2 linked regions of the Schizosaccharomyces pombe genome follow. The gene in region 1 interacts genetically with each later gene. Each region holds a gene or a part of one and is shown on either strand. Other genes may lie near its edges. The genes, in order: mto1 and knk1.

Region 1 (12,561 bases):
ACTATTTCGAGCTCTTTGAAGGGGCTAAGATTTCGCTGTGACTGAATATTCGATGCAGAATCGGAAAATGACGGTACTTCATGAATCAGGGTATTGGTAGGTACTTCGTCAAACTCTTCCGATTTCTTAAACTGAGCCAAAGGATGAAGATAATCATCGTTAGAGCTAATTTCAATGGCATGGGTGTCTGAGCTAGGCTCGATATCATAATCAATTGTCGTTCTGTCCCACTCGTGAGCACTCCCAGTGCCGCCATTGCTAACTAGCATTTCTATGGCTTTAATGGTTATAATGCCTTCTATCTTCTATTTCACTTTCAAAGAGCGAGGAATGAAAATTGAATTCAAGGCTGCAACTGGATATAGGTGAAGGGTAAAAATTTATCTGTCAAACTGATGACTCGATCCGAGGGTCACGTCATGAAGCTAACGAAGCGACGTTATATCGTCGGACTTAAAAGTTTATTTGAATATAAACTACTTTTAAGCGTACAGGTTGATCTACCTACAAGAAAGATACGTTTACAGTAGAATTTTCAAAATTTTAGTGGGTTTTCAGCTGGATTAAGGATGCAGTTCTCTCTAAACAGTCAAGAATTAACTATTTACTTATAATTAATATTCATATCTCCCTTTTATGGAGAAATATGCTGATTAGTTTCGAGCGGAATACGCTGCTTGGCTCATCGATTCCGAATATGCTGTGGCTCAGAACGCTTTTCATGTCGCAATAACGAGACTTTTCGGCGTTTCTCAATGGTAATTGATGCGTTATTATCTGGATTTAGAGCAAAAATTCATACAGGTCTTTGCCTTTTCTTTCCAGAAGCCGATGGACTCTTGATGACTTAGTTTTGTGACCCTTTGTTTTTGATCGCTTGTCCTCATCCAGGTCCTCAATAGCAGTGGTGCCTTTGTTATGACTAACGGTGATTAAATCCTTTTGTTTAGTGCTATTATTTTTCTTCTCCGGTTTCTCTTTGCGAAGTTGTCGCTTTTCACGATGCCGACCCACCAGTGGCTTTCTTGCGTTGGGTCGATACTTGAAGGTGAAACCAAGAAATTGTCTTTGATTACCGTTCATAACTCCATTGCTTTTTGCTTTTTGCTCTGCCTTCCTTTGCTTTTCGTACACATCTTTGTACGCATCTAGTACCTGTTCGTCATTGAAATCATCAAAATAGGAAGTATCAAGTTGATTCTCCAAGCGGGGAACAAATGGTGGCACAGCTCTTTTCCGCAAACCGTTCCAATGGAGTCTCTTAAAAAATGGATGCTTTTGGATTTCGATTGTGCTTTGAAATCTTGACGTTGGTTCTGTTAGACACTTGGTGATGAAAGACCATGCCTCGTCTGAAACCGATCTCGCTTTTTTGTCGTAAATTCCATTTTCATTTTTGGAGGGTCTCTGCAACATTTCTCGCCAGTAGTATAGATTAGTCCACGTTTCTTGGAGCGTTGACCCAGAAAAGGGAGGATATCCTACCAGACATTCATAACATATGCAGCCAAGTGACCAGTAGTCTACGGTCCTATCGTATTTCTTTCCGTAAACAACTTCTGGAGCCATGTATTCAGGAGATCCAACAACGGAATTTACCTAATTTTTTTTTAGTTTACGTTTGAATCAAAATGTCTTTACCTTGTTCTCATTCTTTTCCAAAAGCGCTTTATAAATGTTTCTTCTTTGCTTTTGTGTTAAATAAGGTCTCTGAGGATTAACCGCGCTCACTAGTGCATGTTGAAGTCGATTTACCTGATTCGATGTAACAATTGCAGTACTTAGCCCAAAGTCACTAAGCTTGATATGTCCCTTTTGATCAATTAAAAAGTTCTCGGGCTTTAAATCACGATGCATATAACCTAGTTTGTGGACTGCACTGATTGCAGCGACCATTTCTGCTAGGTAAAATCGGGTTTGATTTTCATGCAAAAGCCCCTTGGTAGTCAAAAAAGTTCGAAAATCTCCTCCAGGGACGTATTCCATTGCTAGATATACTTTTTCCTTATCTTGAAAGGCATAATACAGTTTTACAAGCCATTCGGAATTAGTATTCGTTAGTATATCTCTTTCATTCAATATGTGTTTCACCTGAGCCGTTGTTAGTTTTCTTTTAAGATCTTTAATAGTGTCTTCTTACTTCATTAAGTTGCTGTAATGTTGATTTTTTCATCATTTTCATTGCTAACAATTCGTGTGTGTTGCGCTTTTTAGCAAGCCACACAGAACCATATCCTCCTTGTCCAAGCTTTACTAATAAATCGAAATGGCTACATTGAATCTTGGTTCTTTTTTTTCTCAAAAATGCTCTTTCCCTTCCACAATGCTCTTTCCATAGTCGCTTCTGTTTAGATTGTTTTAATGACGATGTACACGCTGTAAATTCTTCCAATCTTTCCTTCCTTAGTTTATGGTACTCAATTGTGCTAATATAGTAATTGAGGAAGAAAACTTGACAGGCCATCCGCTTTCTTCTTGTCTCGGGTCGACTAAGTATTTCAACTTCACTGGGCTTTAGTAATTGGTAGTAAGTTAAACCTTTAGGATCATTTCTTTTCGTCCAGCAATTTTGTCTTTCTTCGTTGAGCACCATGCGTTCATTTTTCGAAGACACACTTGCTGACGCATTTTCCCTGTCTCGTAAATAGCCGCTTGATAGTAAAAATAAATCAGAAAATTCGACTCCATTTTCTTTTGCCTTTGATACTAGTTTGTTATTGTCTAATTCTTTAAGGCCCAGTAGGTCCATTCTATGTTTGTGGAATCGTTCTATAAAATTGTCCCAAGTGAATTGCTTTTTCCATGCAATGGATTCTTTCCTTTTTTTGCTCCTATTCAAGTTTATGTGAGCTCAATTTTGAAATTTATTTTGAGTACACGTTGTGCCTGAATAAAACTCGATTCTCCCAGCAAATGTAAACAAACACCGGGTTCTGGGAATTTTTACAAAGATGATACATGCGCAGTAAAATTTACTTAAAAAAGGTTAAATAAAAAATTATATTTCGAATTCTTTTGCGCGATTAAAATAAATTTTTTTTACGAATATGTGTGATTATTTCCTTTATAATCAGGGAGATACAAACACCAAAATGGTTAATCGAGAACAAAAAAAAATAAAAAATAAATATAAATCTTGGAATTAGCTTATTTTGTCAATTAAATTCTCCAACTAAGTAGATATGTACTGGTGATTAAGAAAAGCTATATACTTCAACCGCAAACTATCCAGATTATTATTTATGTTCTTGTGATGATATAGAAGGAGACCTAGAATTGCTTTCTTTATCCGTTTTTATTTGCCTTGAAAGACTCCTGTTTTGTCGAATCAAATCTTGAAGCCTTTCTCTGGCACCCAACTTGTCTCTTTTACGACCTTCTTGCTCAGCCTTGAGTTGAAACTCCATCTCTCTTAGTCTCAACTGCCATATATGGCTCATTCCTTCAGCATCTCGTTTCAAAGCTGTGATACCTCTTTGAACTGCTGACTTATCTGGAGAAGCGGGAACAAGCTTTTTATCCTCGGAATCCAAACTAACGCGTTTTGAAGCCCTTGGCGAATTTGGAATAGATGAAGTTGACCCAGCGCCTAAAAGTTTCACTCGTTCTTCCAACTGTGATAAACGCTTACTTCTAGCCTCAAGTACACCATCAAGCTTCCTGAGTTCGGTCTTAAATTCCCGCTCCATTGATTGACACTTCCGTTTGAATTCTTGAATGGATTTGTCCAACTCCCTAAAATTCATATTTACTGCCTGATTCATGCTTGAAATTGTCGTCAATGCTTCAACGTTGGTATTTACAGGCTTACTTCCCGTATTCAGTTGGGTAAAACGAGTGACAATGTTTTTTATGAGGGAATTTCTTTCTTCCACTTGCTCTTTAAGGCGTTTTTCAGATGCTTGTAAAAGTTTAAGTTCTCTAGATTGACTCCTTTCAGAAGGACTGGAAGATCCAGAGAGGTTTCTTCTGAAAGCTTGTGAAGACAAATTTTCCAACTCTAATTGGATTGCTTTTTTGGATCGTCTTTCCGCATCCAGTAAGTTCTTTAACTCCTTCTTTTCAGACACTAACGTCTCCAAAGAGTTTGTTTTTTCTTTTAAACTTTGCTCACAATGGTAGATTTTTTTCATCAACTTATCAGTACCAGACTGATCCTTTTTATTCTCATCTTTTAGTTTTCTTATCTGTTGTACCAAATGGTTAACCGAGCAGTGGGTGACCTGTTTATCAAATGTTTCCATAATAGCATTCTGCAAAGAATCGAAATTTTCGCGAAGGGTAACGTATTGATTATTTCTTTCCTCAATCTCACTTTTTAAAGAAGAGTTTGATGACAATATACCTTCAAATTCACGAAGTTTTTTATTTAATGAATCTAATTCGTCATTGTGCCTTTCCTTCAAGTTGCTAAGATAATCGGCTAACGATTCTTTACTCGTTGTAACGCTTTCCATTTCAGTTTTTAACTGACTAAGTTGATCATTTAACGACTCAATTTGCTCATTGAGTAAAAGTTTGTTATCGTTACTTTTCACCAGCTCGCTTTCTTTCAAAGCAATTACTTGCTTGTTTTCTTCATTTTCCTTCCTTAAAGAATCAACTTCTGCTTCTGTCATTTTCAACTGTTCAAGAAGATTTGATGTCTTTGAAGTTGAATCTTCCTTCGCTTTATTATTTTCTTCTTCCAAAGTTTGCAGCCGCTTTTGTAATTCGTCAAATTCATGGCATTTATCGTTATAACGTTCTGACAATTGGGTAATTTCATCAGTAAGCTTTTCAACCTCTTCTTTGAATAAAGAGATACTCTCCTCATTTTCCCGTATTGTTTTCTCGAATTTCTCAATTTCACGCTCTGCTTCAGTCCTAAGTTTACCTACTACTTCTTCGTAATCATCAGACTCTTTTGAAGACTTTGACAGCACCTCTTTGGTATCCTGGAGTTCTTGGGTAATCTCTTCGACATATTCCTGGAGTTGGTCAACATCTTCCCGCCATTGTTGCTCCATTCTCATCAATTTATTTTCATAATCCTCTTCAATATCTTGCAACTGTTTATATAAACGAGTAAGTTCAATTGATTGCTCTTGGGTTTTCATTCTAGATACCATCATAGAATCCCACAATTCATTCTTGCTTGATTCTGCCTCTACAATCGCATTCATCTTCCCTGAATTCAAAGCAACGGTAAGCTCCTCCACTTGTTTAACCAGGCGATCATTTTCCTGCTTGCGAAGTAGTAATGCTTCATTTTGCATAGATATGTCCATCCTCAACAGTTCATTACTACGCTGAAGTGTTTCAATAACACGCTCATCAGTATTTTTTGCAGGCATAGGAACTTTTTTGGATAACTGTACGCGAAGGGATTCCAACTCTTGCAATAGAGCTTCCTTTTCCCGCCGTTCGTTATCAAGCATATTTGACAGTACATTACGATCTTCATTGTATGCCCCAACAGAATAATTCGTCTTCTTTGATTTTTCTTTTCTCAAAGCCGCAAACGCTCTTTTGGTAGTTTCAAGCTCTGAAAGAGCCTGCGAATACCTCGATTGAAGAGTAATTAGGTTTGAAGGGGCCGGGCTGGGGGTGGAAAGGTTAAAAGACTGATCAGGCTTAATCCGGCTTTCTAATCCAGATATTTTTTTCTCATAGCCTGCAACGGCTCGTTGAAGCTCCATAGTAAGGGTCTTCAAATCGATGTTTTGCTTCATAATATCTTGAACCTCCTGATCGTGGAATTTATTTAATTGATCGTATAGAAAGTAGCATTTCAGTTTCAACCCAAACACTTCCTTTCTCAAATTATCAATCACGTTTGCTTGTTCCTTTAAAGTTAAGGAGGAGCCGGGCTGAGATTCCTCAAACTCTTTGGCAAGTGCATTTTTCCTGTCTTTTAGGTCTTTCATAGCAGACGCCGGTATCAATATATCGGAGATCTTTTTGCTTAAAGCATTGGTAGTGGGGGCATCTTGAGAATGTAAATAATTTCGTTCTTCTTTTATTGGGGTTAATTGCAAATCATCTTCATCATCCAAATGAGGTAACTGATCTAGAGAAGAAGAGATATAGTTCGGACTTGAAGGGTCCGAAGTATAATCGTAATTATTGTAACTATCTTCTTCATACTGCTCTTGGCTCTGAAACCCTTGATTAGCCGTAAGTACGGGAGAAAGCTGTTCATCATCAGTAGTAATGTTGTCATTGAGACGATCAAAATTCGTAGTATCCAAAAAAAAAGGTGCAACAGAACTATTTCCCTCCTCGTCCTCGCTATTCAATTTATTGACTGATTCATCGGGAGATTGAAGCGGAGTAGAGCTCGTTGGAGCAGTAGCATTTTGATGGAGACGAGGTGATCCAGAATCAGATTTTAAAGAATCTCTATCAATTTCAAAATCATACTTATGAGAAGCTTCTTCCGAATCTTCGTCTTTTGATGTAGAAGAGGGTAATTGCCGAGATCCTTCCTTTCTGGGTGATAAAATGCGACGAACTTCCTCGTCCGTCAGCGAAAGACCAGCTAAATTATCCACTAGAACATTAAAGTTATTACTATCTAACTCACTGGAATTTTCTTCCATAATTGATTAGAAAACGAACTTCGACATAAGCAAATCCAAAGCAGTAGGCATTGACTCTTGTAACAATTTCAAAGGAGCGATTTTTGAATAAGAAATTAATTCTTTCTTAAATTGTTAATTGTTAAAAGAAAGTATGGGATCGAAGATATGCCTATTGATACGCTATGGCATATATGTAGTGGCAGTAGTTCTCAATGGCTGTCTCTACTTGACGCATGTTAGACTAACGATCAACAAAGTAGTAGACTTGTAATTGCGGACTTTACAATTTTAGAAGGTTTAATGTTTGTGTTAGAAGCAGATATTTTCAAAAGAAGTTAATGAAATTAATTATACATTTGCACACACTCGTTTACATTATAAATAGCCATGTTATTTGGCATGCCTATGGCACATACACAAAACAATAGTACATACATTGATGATATGTAAAACGTAACTATGATTTTCATTAGATTAACTCTCCTCAAGTTAAGGTATGTTAACCTCATTTCACACTGTGAATCCTAAGTATATTAATTATTGATGGAATAAACGTTAAAAACACTAAAGTCCGCTACGATTATGCTTGAGTACATAGGTTTTCACGAACAAGCGTAAATTTGCTTTCCTACGTATAGTTGGTATGTAGCCTGAAATTATTTGTTTCAGTCTCTATTTTCACCGTGTTACATGATGCTACATTTCGATGATTTCAATCGCAACGGTAAATTGAACTATGAATATACGAACAAATATACTTTTCATTAAGAGAACATTTTTAATTTGCATAGTGTGTTCGAAACTTGAATTGAGTGAATGCGAAAATAAAGTCCTCTACAACTCATCAACTTGAGATATGTAGAGCAGCTGAAAAAAAATAATAATAAATAAATAAGTATATGTAAATTAATTTATCTAAGTAAATTAAGTTAATACTACTCAGTATTTTTTTTAATACAACAAAGAAAAGCATTCTTTCTATTAAGCGAAGGATTTTTTTTTTTTTTAAATCAATTACAATCATCACTTACTAGAATGAACCAACTAGTTGAAAACTTTCTTTTCTTTTCAATTTTTTTTTTTATTCAAGCTGATCATTGATCTGATATGTTTTCTTCAAACATTAATTCCATGAAATTGTTTAAAAAAATTTGCGAAAAAAAAAGTTGACAGGTATGTAAATATTACTAATATAGATTATTACAAAATAAAAGAGAAACTTGGCATCATCACTCGCTCTACATAATTTTTATTAAGTAAAAATGGTAATACATAAAAACTGCTTCAAACTCGTCAGTTACGTACTCTGCTAAATCGGTTAAGGTGTCAGCAATATTACATACGCTGCGATACACAACGCTGAATATCACTATATGCTACATATTCTAATTATACCATAGATGATACGATATTACGATTGTTCCTAATGAAATTATAATAAGTTCTATACTATCTGAATAATGCAAATGGAAGCACAATTGAAATGAAGAACGAGGATCAGTTATACGCTATATTAGTGATAGGTAAAAATATAACCTGTATAACAGAATAACTATACCCCAGTTGCGACCTTTATGACCCGCGTATTGCAATATGAATGATTATAAATATGTATTAAGATATTTGTAATAATGTAATACATTACTATGAATGCACTTAAATTAACTCGCGAATGAACTCATAAACGGAGTTCATTTGAGTTTACTTATAGAAATTCAATGAAGGATATATCTATATTCACCTTATATAAATGATGCGGGTATATAACGATCCAATATACAATCATTACAGTTCTGACTCTGAAAATATGATGTCCGACAGCAGCTATCTGAATGCGATTATGCCGACCCTATGCTAAATTCATTTAGTGCTACTGCATCATGTTATGCGACCAAAACCATATTATTGCCAGAGGTCATTTAGCCACGGAAAGCTTACAAGCAACATATGTTGAAAAGAAGAGTTACAGCGTCAAAAATCGTTCTTAACAACGCAGTGTGGTATTAGTTTAACGAGACATAAGGACCGCGTCGATTTGTTCATGGCATGCTTTATCTATAGTGATATCTTTAATATAGCCTTACATTTACAATGATATCGTCATACAAAGGACGCCGCCACTAAACACGTTATTTTATTTAGCGACTTCTAATTTTGCCGCTTAATAGTTTTTCCACGTCGCTAACCACTAAACACCGCCAAAGAAACCGTGGATTATGGCCACCACCAAGAAGAAAACCAAAGAAAAAGAACAGTCACATTGTAAATATGAGATTTAAATACATAAAAACATATTATTATTTTATTTTAAGTACTCCTTCTGTATTTTCTTAGTTGCAAAATTTTCATTAAGAAAATCCATTCATATACAACCAGGACCTCCGCTCATCTACCAACAACCATTTCCCCGGGATGTCTGCAAAGAGTGAGAATAAGCAGTCAGTCAAAGCTCTTGAAGAGTTGTTGAAGCACCTTACTGTCTGCGATGCCGCAGAGGAAGCTGATGCTGCCAAGGCTTTGGCTTCTTTTGTCAACGGACCCATCGAAGAGCAAGACGCGCCTTCTCAAGTTTTCTCTGCTATTTCCAAGCAGTTGAACGACAAGAACGCCACTGCTCGTGAGCGTGTCTTGAAGGGTCTTGAGGCCGTTGCCAACCATGGTAGTGTTGCCGCTGATGTCGAGCCTTACTTGGTCGAGTTGTTGCCCGCCGTCATCGCCAAGGTTGCTGACAAGCAAAACGCTGTCAGAGATGCTGCCATTGCTGCTTCTAAGGCTATTGTCCGTTGCACTACCCCTTATGCCGTCAAGGCCATCGTCCCCTCTGTTCTCGAGTCCATCCACACCACTGGTAAGTGGAATGAGAAGATGAACTCTTTGCAACTTTTGGATGTTCTCGTTGAGGTTGCTCCTTCCCAATTATCCTACTCCCTTCCTCAAATTATCCCTGTTGTTTCCGAGTCCATGTGGGATACCAAGGCTGAGGTTAAGAAGCAATCCAAGGAAACCATGACCAAGGTCTGTACTTTGATTGCCAACGCCGATATTGACCGTTTCATTCCTGAGCTTATCAACTGTATTGCTCACCCCGAGGAGGTCCCTGAGACTATTCACTCTTTGGGTGCCACTACTTTCGTTACTGAAGTCCAGGCCCCCACTTTGTCTATCATGGTCCCCTTGTTGGCCCGTGGTTTGAATGAGCGTTCCACTCCCATTAAGCGTAAGACTGCTGTCATTATTGACAACATGTCCAAGCTTGTCGAGGATCCTCAAGTCGTCGCTCCTTTCTTGCCCAAGCTTTTGCCTGGTTTGTACCACATCAAGGACACCATTGGTGACCCTGAATGTCGTTCCGTTGTTCAACGTGCCATCACCACTTTAGAGCGTGTTGGTAACGTTGTTGACGGTAAGATCCCTGAGGTTTCTACCGCCGCCAACCCTGAAGTTTGTCTCGAAACTTTGAAGGCTGTTCTCGGTGAGATCAAGGTCCCCACCAACGAGGAGGTTATTGCTAAGTACGTTGCTAACATTGCTGCCCAACTCGTTGAAGAGAAGGATAACGAAAATGAGTCCTGGGTTCTCAACATCACTCCTTACTTGACTGCCTTCATTGACGAGGCCCACATTCACAAGATCGTTGAGCAACTCCGTACCCGCTCTATCGCCAAGATTCCTGGTGGTGCTTCTCATGCTGAGGAGGAAGAGGAGGGTGAGGATCTTTGCAACTGTGAGTTCTCTCTTGCTTATGGTGCCAAGATTCTTCTTAACCGTACTCGTCTCCGTCTTAAGCGTGGTCGTCGTTATGGTCTTTGCGGTCCTAACGGTTCCGGTAAGTCTACCCTTATGCGTGCCATTGTCAACGGTCAAGTTGAAGGTTTCCCTACTCATCTCCGTACCGTCTACGTTGAGCACGATATCGACGAGTCTGAAGCCGACACTCCTTCCGTCGATTTCATTCTCCAAGATCCCGCTGTCCCCATCAAGGACCGTGATGAAATTGTCAAGGCTTTGAAGGAGAACTCTTTCACCGATGAACTCATTAACATGCCTATCGGTTCCCTTTCTGGTGGTTGGAAGATGAAATTGGCTCTTACCCGTGCTATGTTCAAGAACCCCGATATTCTTTTGCTTGATGAGCCTACCAACCATCTTGACGTTGTCAATGTTGCCTGGTTGGAGAACTTTTTGGTTAACCAAAAGGATGTTTCTTCCATCATTGTCTCTCACGACTCTGGTTTCTTGGACCACGTTGTTCAAGCCATTATCCACTACGAGCGTTTCAAGCTTCGTAAGTATCTTGGTAACATGTCCGAGTTCGTTAAGAAGGTTCCTTCCGCCAAGTCCTACTATGAGTTGGGTGCCTCCGAAATGGAATTCAAATTCCCTGAACCCGGTTTCTTGGAAGGTGTTAAGACCAAGCAACGTGCTATCATCAAGGTCCAACACATGTCTTTCCAATACCCTGGTACCTCAAAGCCTCAATTGAACGACATTTCTTTCCAAGTTTCTCTCTCTTCTCGTATTGCCGTTATTGGTCCCAACGGTGCCGGTAAATCTACCTTGATTAAGGTTCTTACTGGTGAATTGTTGCCCACTGTTGGTGAAATTTACCAACACGAGAACTGCCGTATCGCCTACGTTGCCCAAGCCGCTTTCACTCACTTGGGTCATCACCCTGATAAGACTCCCTCAGAATATATCCAATGGCGTTTCCAATCTGGTGAAGATTTGGAGGCTATGGATAAGGCTTCTCGTGTCATCAGCGAGGCTGATGAGGAGGCTATGAAGAACAAGATCTTCAAGATTGAGGGAACTCAACGTAAGATTTTGGGTATCCACAGCCGTCGTAAGCTCAAGAACTCTTATGAGTATGAGTGCTCTTTCCTCGTCGGTGAGAACATTGGCATGAAGAGTGAGCGCTGGGTTCCTATGATGTCTTCCGACAATGCTTGGTTACCTCGTGGTGAACTTATGGAGACTCACGCTAAGATGGTTGCTGAAGTTGACCGTGCTGAGGCCTTGAAGAGTGGTCAATTCCGTCCCTTGGTCCGTAAGGAGATTGAGGAGCACTGCAGCCTTTTGGGTCTTGATGCTGAGTTGGTTTCTCACTCTCGTATCAAGGGTCTTTCTGGTGGACAAAAGGTCAAGCTTGTCTTGGCTGCTTGTACCTGGTTGCGTCCTCACGTCATCGTTCTTGACGAGCCTACCAACTATCTTGATCGTGACTCTCTTGGTGCTCTTTCCAAGGGTCTTAAGAACTTTGGTGGTGGTGTCGTTTTGGTCACTCACTCCCGTGAGTTCACTGAAGGTTTGACTGAGGAAGTTTGGGCTGTCAACAACGGTCACATGACTCCTTCCGGTCACAACTGGGTTTCCGGTCAAGGTTCTGGTCCTCGTATCCAAGAGAAGGAGGAGGGCGATACTTTTGATGCTTTCGGTAACAAAATTGAAAAGGCTAAGAAGGCCAAGAAGCTCACTGGTGCTGAGCTCCGTAAGAAGAAGAAGGAGCGTATGGCTCGTCGTAAGGCTGGTCTTGAGGTCAGTGACGATGAGCTGTAAGGTGTCTGCTATGAGTCTTTTAATTGTGGAATCTTACGGTCCTTAAGGTTGTTATTATGGTTTGAATTAATTAGATGGTAACTGTACTTTTGATTTAGCTAGGCTAGGAAATTAATAAGCTATTGTTCCAGTATACGACTCTAACATGTGGTAACGTATGAGTTTTTTGAGAGCGAAGTATAAGTCTCAAAAAAGATCATTGTTCAAGTTGACAATTGTTTTATCAATATAGTTTGTCATGTAAAGTGAGTGTATATGAAGACCCATAAGTGTGTACTACATGTATGTTATCAATGTAATTTCTAAAAAGCTGCTGTTAATTTTCAACTTTGGTAAGAATCGATGAAAGGCGTTCGTCGTCCAGAGGAAGACAAATTAACAGTTTAGAATGTATTTATTAATTATCCATTTTGTATATACTTTATAATGTTTTTTTTAA
Region 2 (11,740 bases), on another chromosome or scaffold:
TCATGTTGTATTTAGGATCGGTAATTATAGTAATCTACCTTCTCTTTCATCAAAACACACTCTTCAACATGCTAAAAGATCGATACAAAATAAAATCGCAAATGGGATAGTCCGCGCTATGTTATAGAGCATTACGTTGCCATTACTCACCCCACATTCAGTTACTCTATTATACGTAGTTTGTGATACTTAAGGTGATATCGTATACTATGTAAAGACATGCACCAATTCCGTTGTTTAAAATACCAATGTTAATTGCACAGTTTTCAATTCTCCCTAATGTTACGCAGTTTGGTATCTGATTTAAGGATACGGAGAACTGCGGTGAGTTTTCCTTATGGTCTATTTATATTACAATACACAGGTTGTATAAGTAGCAACTGAGTATAGGTATTGTATTAACTGGGTTATAATGTTACCTATCACTAATATAGCTCATAACTGAACTGAGGAACGAGGTTCAGTTGTAACGCTATTTATAATATTTCTAAATAGTTGTTATTAACGGGTATCTATGTATATAGACGGATAATTACCCGTGATTATCAATAAACGGATCTTAGCTAGTATTCCAACATATGACATATAGTGATACGCAACGTAGTGTATCATAGCATAGCGTTATATTAATGGCACTACATTACTTTTTACAATACGATGTTCAAATTTTGTGCATTGCGTTAATGTTTAGTATTTTCAGAGTATGTATATCCACTGCTATTGATTTCACTTCCCCCAAGCTTGATGAATTTTCCTTGATCATGGAAAATGGAGAGATTTTACTGACCAGCTGGCTCAATCGGTCAGTTCATATTGAAATTTTTGATGAGAGAAAATTCATCGGAAAGTTCTTGTGCACTGACAGAGAAGGCGCTGCCATTCTCTCAAATACCACAGAATACAACAAAGGTAAGATTGATATGTGTTCATGAATAGCGCGTCCCTCAAATTCAAGTAAACTTTCGCTGGGTTACTGTTTAAATTGAAAACAAACGTTCCAGCTAGTACCTCTTTCTGTTTTTCACCAATTTCGTCAAAACTAATATAATGAAATCAGGCTTCTCTAGAGCTTTGGGTTTAGTGGTGATTCCAGGAAAGCATATCAAAAGCTTCTCCGTACGTGCCTAAAGCACCCATAAATCTCCTTAACATTTTCATCTCACTTACGTATGTATGTATATATATATATATATATATATTGGAATGAATTCAAAAACGAATATCGCCAGGGATAATCATTACATTCGTACAGATTAAAAAACGCCTATAATTAACATTACAATCTGTACCACTCGTGATAGCACCTCAGTGATAATGATTACTGCAATGAGCAGTCCCTATTTTTGCTTCGCATCCATTTTAACAAATATTTTTTTATTTATTTATAAAAACGAAAGAAGAACATGCTTTCTATGTTAAAATTGACTTTCTGATTTGGGAAAAAACAACAATTGAAACATATCTTCATAAACTAGATGTGCATCAATCAACCTTATCCCGTTTTTCCCATTAGACAAACGAAACGAGATAAATATTAATAAAACAAATCATCATCTATCATGCCACTCATCTGTCGTTTATCTTTAAAGCCCTAACAGATCATCTGTTGCCGATCTAGCCTTTACAGGTTCAGCGTTATTTGTGCTCGGTGCCTCAAAAGCCATGAACAAATCCATTGCACTATTTGAGCCCGACTGAGGTTGTGCGCTGGTTATTGGAGAATCACTGGCAGACGTTGCGCCTGGATCAGTAAAATCAAGGTCAAGCAAATTTTCAACGTTGGCTCCTTTTTCAATAGCTTCATGAACATTGGCTTCTTCAATGTTCAATTCTTCAACAGCTCGACGCTGTATTGCGTCTGCGCCAAACTTGCCCTGGCCAATAAAGGATTCCGGTAATTTATGGTATACAGAAGCAAGAGTTGTGATTTCACACAACAGAGCATCCAAAAGTGCCTCAGGTAGATTGTTATTATAAGATACGGAAGGCTTTTCGCAACAAACAATTTTTTGAGCTTTACGAACATTTTCAGGTGTCAACAACCGCTGATATGCAAAGGCACGATCCCTTAAATCCTGATTGCTTGATTGATTAATTGCATAATTTAATACTTTCTGTACGAGTTCTTCATCGTTTCCTTTGCCGTTCATCAAACTCAATTTTACAACAGCCGTCAGTAAAGCCAATTGAATCTGTAAATCTTCATCCGCCATAGTAGAAATCATTTCGGATAATAGTTTAGAAGAAGTAGGTATAACGTGTGAAAATTCCCCTAAAATCCAAGCCATACTACTACGGGCTCTAGGGTCACCAAGCTCCTCAATGACACGAGAAAGATATGGAAGTAATAAGTCAATCTTTTGAGGGTATTTGCGCAAAACCGTTTCCATCACCACCGTGACTTCTTGAACCATATAACTAATATTTAACTCATAGATTTCAAGAAATATGGAGATGCAATCATTGATGACGCTTGGAACTTTCAATGCAACGTCTCCAAGGCATTTAATCGTTTGTTTCACAAATTCTAGTTCAACTTCGGAAACGTACGCTCGAAGCTCGGAAATGGTCTCGTTAATGTTTTCGTCACATGCAAGCATTGTAATTATCTTTAGTTTCTCCATTTTAATATAAAGAGGATCATTATATTTGCAGAAAAAAACCCGAGTTTTGACATCAAAAATAGAAGGCCTCTTTTGTAATATTAAATTAATGTTCCGTAAGGCTACATACTGGATTTCTGAGTCCGTAGAAAGTAGCGTCAAAAGAGGAGGAGCCATTTTTTTGTACAGAAAGTCTGTAAAGTCACTGGAAAAGAGAGGGATATGTACCATTATGACTTTCACAGCGGACAAAACGACACCACTATTTGCATGTTGGAATTGAGGAACCACCCTTTCACAAACATATTCAGCTTCCTTGATATCAGAAGTGCGAAATCTAGCTAAAGAATTCAAAATAGTAATCCGACCCCACTCATTACACTCACTCAAAGCAACCATTAGCCTGTCTGTCATCGTGTAAACTACATTAAAATATCCCTTTTCAGGGTCCTGATCATGAATTTCAGCAAGTGAGCGGACTGCATTAGCCACAACCACAGGATTCGGATCAGATACCAACGCCTGCAATTGTTCGATGAAACCATTTGATGCACAGTATTCTCGATCAAGGTCATACATCTTTACAACACAAACCGCTGCAGCCTTACGAACATAGGGATGCTCATCCTTCAAAGCTTTTCGCAACGGATCTGCCAAATAGCCAATGATTTTATTTACCCGAATGCAACCCATAGTTCTAATTGCCAGAGCTCGTAAAGTAGGATTATATTCCTCAGAATCCTTTACAAAAGTATTAACGGCTAAAATACAAAGATCAGGGTGTGTTTTGGCATAGTTAATTAGATATAAATAAACCAGTTTTTTCAAGGTGATATCGCGAGTAGCTAGGTTCTTTAAAACATCGGGAAACAGACTAGACACATCCTTGCCAACAGTCATTGCGGCAATAGTCCGTTTCACAGCATCAATTCTCTCGTAGGCATACTGAGAAACTAGTCCCTTTTGTAATTCACTTGTTTCGCTTTTTTTAAATGCCTTAAAACGGCTCGATTGAAACAACTTTGGAACCATTCGGTACTATTGTATAATTCCGCTCTTTATGTAGCTCTTTTAAAGGTGGTAAACGTCCTAAGGTCAAAAACACGTTTACATATATAAAGCAGTGGTTCAATAATCATGTCAAGTCAAACCCATTCGGTGAGAAACACCCACTCCCAGAAGTAACAAAGGTGACAATATCGAATACTGAAATCCAATTTCTATATATTCATGATTTCATTTTCAACCTGCAATGCTTTAAACGCTACTATTATGACCTTTAAATAAATTTTAAAACATTTAATTCAGTATACAAACAAGAGGTTGAAATGTTATTTCAATAAAAGCTATAAGTTAATTGCCGTAAAAATGCGATTCAAGTAAAGCAATACCCTTTTCCAAACATTAAATAACTAATAATTATTGTTCAAAATTGGAGAATAGTGAAGGGAAAAAAAGTAGCCCAATAGGTTGAGGCTGTATGTAAACGAAATAAATATGACGATAAATGGAAAAAATAAAATAAAGAGAATTGATGGAAAATACAAAAGGGGAGCATTTGTAAAAGGCGCTGTCAAGTCGGCTATGATTTAAAATGTCGTTTATAGCGATAGTCAAATCACGAATACATTTTAGTTGTTGTAGGAAAGACGAAAATAAAATGAAGGTAAACAGAAATTAAAATTCGTAATAAGCCAAGTTTATGCAAAAGAAAGTTATTGAAACCACATGAAAATCAGCATCCACGATTCAATCCCTAAATGCACGGTAATTCTCATAATATCCAGAAAAACGATACCCAAATGATTCGTTAAGAAACATTAAAGGATAAAATTAAAAAGAGAGAAAGGAAGTTTGAATAAATTAAAGGATACCCTGCCTTTTTGATGCAAAAGAATATATGATTTCTTGAAAATATTAAAGGTAGAATACTCTACAAAGTTGTTTTAACGTTGCGAACCAAATTGTTTATTCCACTCTTCGTAACGATGAATACCCTCTTGTGAGACACTTGGACGAATAGTACGAAGGCTAGCTTTAAAATGATTCAAGCTGATCGGAGGTATCATCTCTGCACTGGTGGTAAGTAGAGCATCACCCAAGTTTCTTAAAGGACCCATTGCTGCGTCTTTGGCTAAAGCAGTGATATCAGAGCCTGAATAACCTAGATGGCGTTAGTTAACTAACCAATCGAATTATTTATATACATACCTTCGGTAAGATTGACAAGTTCTTCCAGATCCTCCTCCGTCAAACAGTGTACTTGATTATGAAGCAAATGAGAAAGATGTTTATATCTTGTTTCTTTTTCAGGTAACGGAATATAGGTTCTTTTAACGAATCGGCGTCGAGCAGCCTCATCAATACACCACGGAAGATTTGTAGCTGCCAGCACCAAAACACGGGGAGAGTGACCAGTTTGCTTGTCCGGAGCCGCATTAGTTAACGAAGACCATTGAATTAAAAATTCTGTTTTTAATCTACGAGAGCTCTCGTGCTCATTACCGCTGTCATTACGAGCGGAAAGAATGGAATCAATTTCATCAACAAAGATAACGCTACATGTCTGGCGCTTCGCAACTTCAAAAAGGGCTCGAACCAACTTTTCAGAATCACCAAGCTAAATCAAGGTTAGTTAAGAATGGGGTTAAATATAAAACTTGCTTACATATTTCGAGGTTAATGATGAAGCCGAAATCGAAAAAAATGTGGCTTTCGCTTCGGTCGCAACAGCACGAGCAAGCATGGTTTTGCCGGTGCCAGGGGGGCCAAAAAGAAGCATGCCTTGTACGGGTTCACGCAATCCTTGGAAAAGTTCCGGGCGTAAAAACGGATAAATGACTGCCTCTTTCAAGGAATTTTTAGCGTCATCTAATCCGGCAATGTCCGACCAGTAGACAGGTTCATGGTTAGAAATAATTTCATTCATAATAGCATATTCAAAATCACTTGAAGGAGTGGTCTGTTGAAGAGGTTCAGTTTGTTGAGTAGTACTAGCTGAGATAGTTTTTGACACAATTGTCTTAGAATCAGCGGTTGCCGGAGGAGATGTAGCAGGTGATCCGGCTGTGTCAGCGGAAGACGGTCGAGTGGAAGAACCAAGGGTATCATGAGAAGAGTTTAAGTATGGTTTATATGGGCTAGGATGCTTGCGCGATTTTCCATCGCTGGATGAATGCGATGCAGACGTAAGGGGGACGGCAGGAACATGGAGTGGAGGAATTGGCGCATGGAAGGAGAGGGGAGTGCTATTGTTAGCATTTTGATTGTTTGACACCTGAATAGAAGGGCTAGATACCGAATTGGAAAGCGTCGGTTTAGTCGTAGACTGACTTTTCATAGCGGTAGGAAAAGTGGTGGAATTCATGGTAGCAGAACGACCTGTATCAGAAGAAAGAGCAGAAGCAGAAGCGGCAGCACTCTTAGAAGCAGCAGCAATGGCCGAAGCAGAAGAATTGAAAGAGGCAAAGGGATCTTCGGGTTTGAGGGGTGGAGAACGGTTTGGCTTAGAGGGTGCCAGATAAGAAGGTGCATCTCCATAGGAAGAAGAAACAATGGATGAAGTGGAGGTAGAAGGAGGCGAATGCTTGGAATATATTTGCTTAGGCGTAGATAAATTTACCTCCGACTGCGCACCTCTCGTCTGTCTGTACATCATCCTAGTAGTCATGGGGGTATACGCAGGTGTTTGAGATCTTACTGGACGTAAGGGGTGAAGATCAACGGGCGCCTTCTTTGAAAGTTTGGCTGCAAGTTGATAATTTTGCCTTTCCATTTCACTTTCCAAAATCGTCTTACGCAGCTTGCTTGCCTTGCTCAAACAGTTGTCATAGAGCCCGTTCCAAGAACATGCCTCTGCGCCCGTCAAAGGTCCCAATCCCATGCGATCGCGAGCTGCCGACGACTTCTTCATCTCCTCTAAAACCTTGCAGTAACTCACATACGCACCAGCCCAATCCCTATTTCCTTCACACAATAATGCTCTTGATGCTATCGGTAGTATTCTATCCAAGTCTGAGTCCATTTTCCGCAGTCGACTCGTCAATGGCTTTTTTGCTTTTGGCAAGTTCAAATGTCAAAAGTGCTGTCTTGTCGTTAAAAATCCCATAGAATGTTCGAAGTAACGCTGTTACTTTTCAGCCACTGGTTTTCTTTCATCTCTTCAAAAGCTATTTGATAAGGAATTCGTATTGGAGAAAATCATTTTATTCATAGATTCAATAGATGAGTAAATATCTTTCTTTCACACTCTTTTTTTTTTCCCGCTAATTCGCAAATCCGGAAATTTGTTTACAACAAAAAACGTATTATTAACGATATTAATCATTTCATCGCTATGCTAGTAGTGTGGATTAGAGAGCACTTTAAAATCGAGCGCCTTCGACTGGCTGAAAAACAGAAGCCAAGCGGTTTTCGATGAGAACAAATTTGCGAAAATTTAAGTATCTTTTGATATACCTACAAATTCTAAAAAAAATTTCTCTAGTTGAACTTAACGCTCAAATAGAGCTTTTTTTAAGAATACTTGAGGCCCGGGAGATGTAAACAGATCAGCTATGTCTGAAAGGAACGGGATGGCACTTAATGTTGATAAATTTTTTATTTTTTAAATTCTTGAAGTGAATGGTGAAAAAAGTCGGGCGCCTAATCGTTAAAAGCCTTCAAAAGTCAAAATGTGATAAAACAAATATGAATGTAACGTTTTGTACTACAATGACAATAATCTTAGCAGGCGAATCGTTTTGTAGACTAGAAAAGTACGTAATTTATTTTTATTAAATGATCCTACAAATACTAAAACTTGTAAAAATGCTTTTAAGCAATTTCTGATCAATTAAAATTTCACGCATGTCAAACCATTTAGAAATGTTTATGTTGTTAAAGCAGTGTTACAAAGCTATTAAAATACCTAAAAAATATCAACAATGTATTCGTAAATTCCTAGAACCAATAATTGTTCAAGTAAGATGAGAAACTCTTGGAAGATCAACACATATAGAGGATTCCCTGAAGCTGTTATATTAACTTCGCCAAAAAAAAATTAGTTGTAGTATAAGATTCATTTACTTATCTAAATATTCTGCTTTTGAGTATTCAACCAAGTAGCACTTCTCCCATCGAATATTGAAGCAATTTGGAAGTATAAATTGTTTTGATTATTGTGTCGTATAAAAAATGATACACGGGAGAGATGCATATGCAAATAGATCTGTGAATTTTATTGTTAACTGATTTGATGTATAAGCTGTTGTAAGTTTTGATAATGAATTTGGCCTCTGAGGAAGATGCTCAATATCCTGCTTGACTCAACAGAATTCTTCAGAAAAAATACTTAAGATCAGAATGGTATGAAGAAAAAACGATAATTAAAAAATGTTTTGTTTGTTTACAAACTATTTAATGATTCTTCCGTTCTTTGAAATAAACTTATCTGATCAAAGCGACGTCATATCTAAGCGAAATCACGGTAAATACCATGATATACAAACCATCCCAACTCTAACTTCATCATTTAGTTACTTTTGAAAATAAGAAATGAAATGATTCAGTATGTATATTTAAAACATATGAGGAAATTATGGAGTCTTGGAAAAGTCCGTTCGACTGTTCTTCGGTTTTCTACTACGAACCGCAATGCTTCACATTTAATTAAAAACGAGTTGGAACAAATCTCACCAGGGATTCGTCAAATGCTGAATTCAAATTCAGAATTTCTTGAAGAGTGTTCTAAATATTATACCATTGCTCAAGGAAAACAAATGCGTCCTTCTCTTGTTTTGCTGATGTCCAAAGCTACAAGCTTGTGCCATGGTATTGATCGGTCCGTAGTGGGCGACAAATATATTGATGATGATGATTTAAGATCATTTTCGACGGGTCAAATTCTTCCTTCTCAATTGAGATTAGCACAAATAACCGAGATGATCCATATAGCAAGTTTGCTGCATGACGATGTGATTGATCACGCTAATGTCCGTAGAGGCTCACCTTCAAGCAATGTTGCTTTCGGTAATCGACGGTCAATCCTTGCGGGTAATTTCATCCTTGCACGGGCTTCGACTGCTATGGCCCGCCTTCGAAATCCCCAAGTTACGGAGTTGTTAGCTACAGTGATAGCAGACTTGGTTCGAGGTGAGTTTTTGCAGCTAAAAAATACTATGGATCCTTCATCTTTGGAAATAAAACAATCAAATTTTGACTATTATATTGAAAAAAGTTTTTTGAAAACAGCCAGTTTAATTTCCAAAAGCTGCAAGGCTTCTACAATCCTCGGACAATGTTCTCCTACTGTAGCAACAGCTGCTGGAGAATACGGTCGATGCATTGGTACTGCTTTTCAACTAATGGATGACGTGTTGGACTATACGTCGAAAGATGATACTTTAGGAAAGGCGGCTGGTGCAGATTTGAAGCTAGGGTTGGCTACAGCTCCCGTCCTCTTTGCATGGAAAAAGTATCCAGAACTTGGTGCAATGATTGTGAATAGATTCAATCATCCTTCTGATATCCAACGGGTAAGAGAAGCTGAAGTTTTATTTATTTATTTGATTTCCTTTTCTCTATCGTTAATTTTCAATTGCTAACATATAATTTAGGCTCGTTCTTTGGTTGAGTGCACTGATGCTATCGAGCAAACCATCACTTGGGCAAAAGAATATATCAAAAAAGCCAAAGATTCCCTTCTGTGTCTCCCTGATTCACCTGCAAGGAAGGCACTTTTTGCGTTGGCTGATAAAGTAATAACGAGAAAGAAGTGACGAGTTTAGTACGCTGCATCTTTAACTATTAGATAAAGGCCTCTTTTTCTTATTCTCGAAAAATTTAAAACAATTAGGTTTAATTATATATACGACTTTGGTAGACCGAGTTGAATTACCGCTCTTAATAGAGCAGTGAAAATATTACTAATATGCGCTGCCTTGATTGGTTTTTCTTCCATAAATGATTTCAGGTTATTACAAAGTGAACGACAACTGCCAACGAATGCAATGATTTTATAACGACATTGCAAGCCACTAATGATACTGTCTATAAAAATTGGACTTCAATAAATAAACCAAGCACTTCGTAATAACTATTCTTGACTAGTGTTATAGTCTTTGTGATCTCGCTGCTCAAATGTCAGATGCTGATTTTGGCTCCAATTTTCTGTTTACGTTATAACAACTATCATGTAAGTTTGTCCATTACTTATATCTGGTGAAAAAGGCTGCATAACTATGGTAATACTTTTTGTCAGATCTAAAATTAGGAATCAGATTTTATCCGGTAGCTTGCTGTGCTTTCCCTGGACTGCAAAATTATTTTCACCTGTATTCTTTTACTATACCTTTTTGATAGCCTATAAACGTTGAGCGTTGAGCTTTTAAACTTACCAAAACTACAGGGCCTTCCTTCTTTCCCCAATGCTCGAATGAACTTTCGTTAGTATCAACGTTTCCTTTTGTTTAGTACCCCTATAACAATATATATAACGACCTTCTTTTTGAATAAACCATAGCAAAAGCTAAAAGTTTGGATGTATTAATGAACATTGTACACCTCAGTCAAACAACAGTAATTTGACTATTAGATGATGATCGTAATTACTATGTTAACATATATCTGATGCCTCAAAAGTGCAAGAAAATGAATAAATTTCAAATTAGTAAATAATTGACTATCGGAAATACTTAACAATATATAGATCCAGTTTTTGGTTCAAATAATTAATATTATTATTAATAATATAATCGTGAATTGCATCCTGTTGCTAGTTTAAAGCCCTTTGTTACCACAATGAAGTTTAAATGGGTTTAAAAAATCCTTAAAAAAATAGATTTTATTGATCATCATGCAATGTCATTAGAGTAAAAAGTACGGACGAATGTATATTTTTTTTATTTACCATAATTTGGTACACTTTGATATACTAATGTAGGTACAGTGCTTTCAAGAAGAGCTCAAGTAACAATGTCAGTGGTTACCTACTAATTATATTTTTTCCATTAACAGAACCATCTAATAGCAAACCTTTTTGAATGTCAGTTTAATTCAATATACATGTATGTGAATTTTGTGCTCATAATTAAACATATTAAACATAATAAATAACTAATCTCGAAAATTCAAACATCCGCAATACAATTACAAAGTTTAAAACACGCTGATAAAAAACTTCTTAAATGAATCCTGTATCCGTAAAGGGTCAATGTTTTATTCTAGAAGCCCACATCCGCTTAATCGTCTATCCAAAATTTTTGGAACGGGTTAAGCTTTAAGCAGTTAAACTTGCTCATAAACTAAAAATTTATCTCTCTCATATAAACGCTTTGGATTTTGGTATTATTGTGAGATGCCAGAGTCACTTAAGCTTGTTTAATCAAATTATTGCTACGCTTTGTCGTAAGGGAATATGTTCGATGGATGATTGCTACTCCCAACATTTATCCAATATGTTTTATCTCTTCTGATTTACTCATGCGATATTGCAAGATAATCGGCCTATATTCTGTAAGCATATTACATGCTTCGTTATAGCCGATTCTTACCGGTGATGTTTCAGATCTTCATGGGCTTCTAGGCCGTAGTTGTAGCGATACATTGTCAACTTGTTCCGTCGGGACATAATGGAAATCAATGATGAGGCTGGCTCAAAACTATGTTTTTTTAAATAGAAAAGTGTATAATTTTCCTGGGTGATTTATTTTTTTTTGGCGTTTCTTTTTTTGGGAGAGTTGGCTTTTGAGTGTAGAATACTCCAGTTTAACTTGGCCATTTATTCTGTCGCTTGGATCATAGTGATACCTTTAATCAGCTTAAACTTCATTCATTTTCTATATTTAGATATTCACTGCTCTGAGCAGATTAACTCATTGGTATTCTCTGTTCCTTATTTCGGTAAATTCTAAGCTCATTTCAGCTCCCACATTGCTCAGGGATTTCGCTTGAGATCTGATATATACAAAGAGTTATACTTAGCGAACATTCACCCATTACACGTATTTGATCGTTTGTATTTACTCTTTGTTGTTCGTCGTCGCCAATCGGTTTCATGAATATATTTTGAAAACAAACTTTCTTGCCTAATCAAAGGATCAACCGATCTGTGCCAACTTTAATGGTGTCTAAGAATGGTCGAAAAAACTTCACCGATT

The links.
Region 2: of mto1 (region 1) and knk1, changing one enhances a phenotype caused by changing the other (phenotypic enhancement), as found in Schizosaccharomyces pombe (one study listed by BioGRID).

Annotation. Positions count from the first base shown.
Region 1 is NC_003421.2:1,676,688-1,689,248, forward strand, and holds mto1 (gamma tubulin complex linker Mto1), read right to left. Parts: upstream 6,585-12,561; coding exon 3,237-6,584; 3' UTR 3,074-3,236; downstream 1-3,073. Other genes in the region: cfh2 (chitin synthase regulatory factor), read right to left, coding at 1-269; mug27 (protein kinase Mug27/Slk1), read right to left, coding at 784-1,599, 1,642-2,091, 2,141-2,749; tef3 (translation elongation factor eEF3), read left to right, coding at 8,979-12,122. UniProt on the Schizosaccharomyces pombe protein: Spindle pole body (SPB) component that acts as the gamma-tubulin complex-binding protein of the SPB outer plaque.
Region 2 is NC_003423.3:676,000-687,739, forward strand, and holds knk1 (AAA family ATPase), read right to left. Parts: upstream 6,668-11,740; 5' UTR 6,628-6,667; coding exon 5,272-6,627; intron 5,240-5,271; exon of another isoform or gene 5,224-5,239; coding exon 4,815-5,223; intron 4,768-4,814; coding exon 4,550-4,767; 3' UTR 3,904-4,549; downstream 1-3,903. Other genes in the region: putative NatC N-acetyltransferase non-catalytic subunit Naa38, read left to right, coding at 762-909, 1,058-1,128; AP-1 adaptor complex beta subunit Apl2, read right to left, coding at 1,584-3,635; decaprenyl diphosphate synthase subunit Dps1, read left to right, coding at 8,144-9,118, 9,200-9,361; SPOM_SPBPJ4664.02 (glycoprotein), read left to right, coding at 11,717-11,740.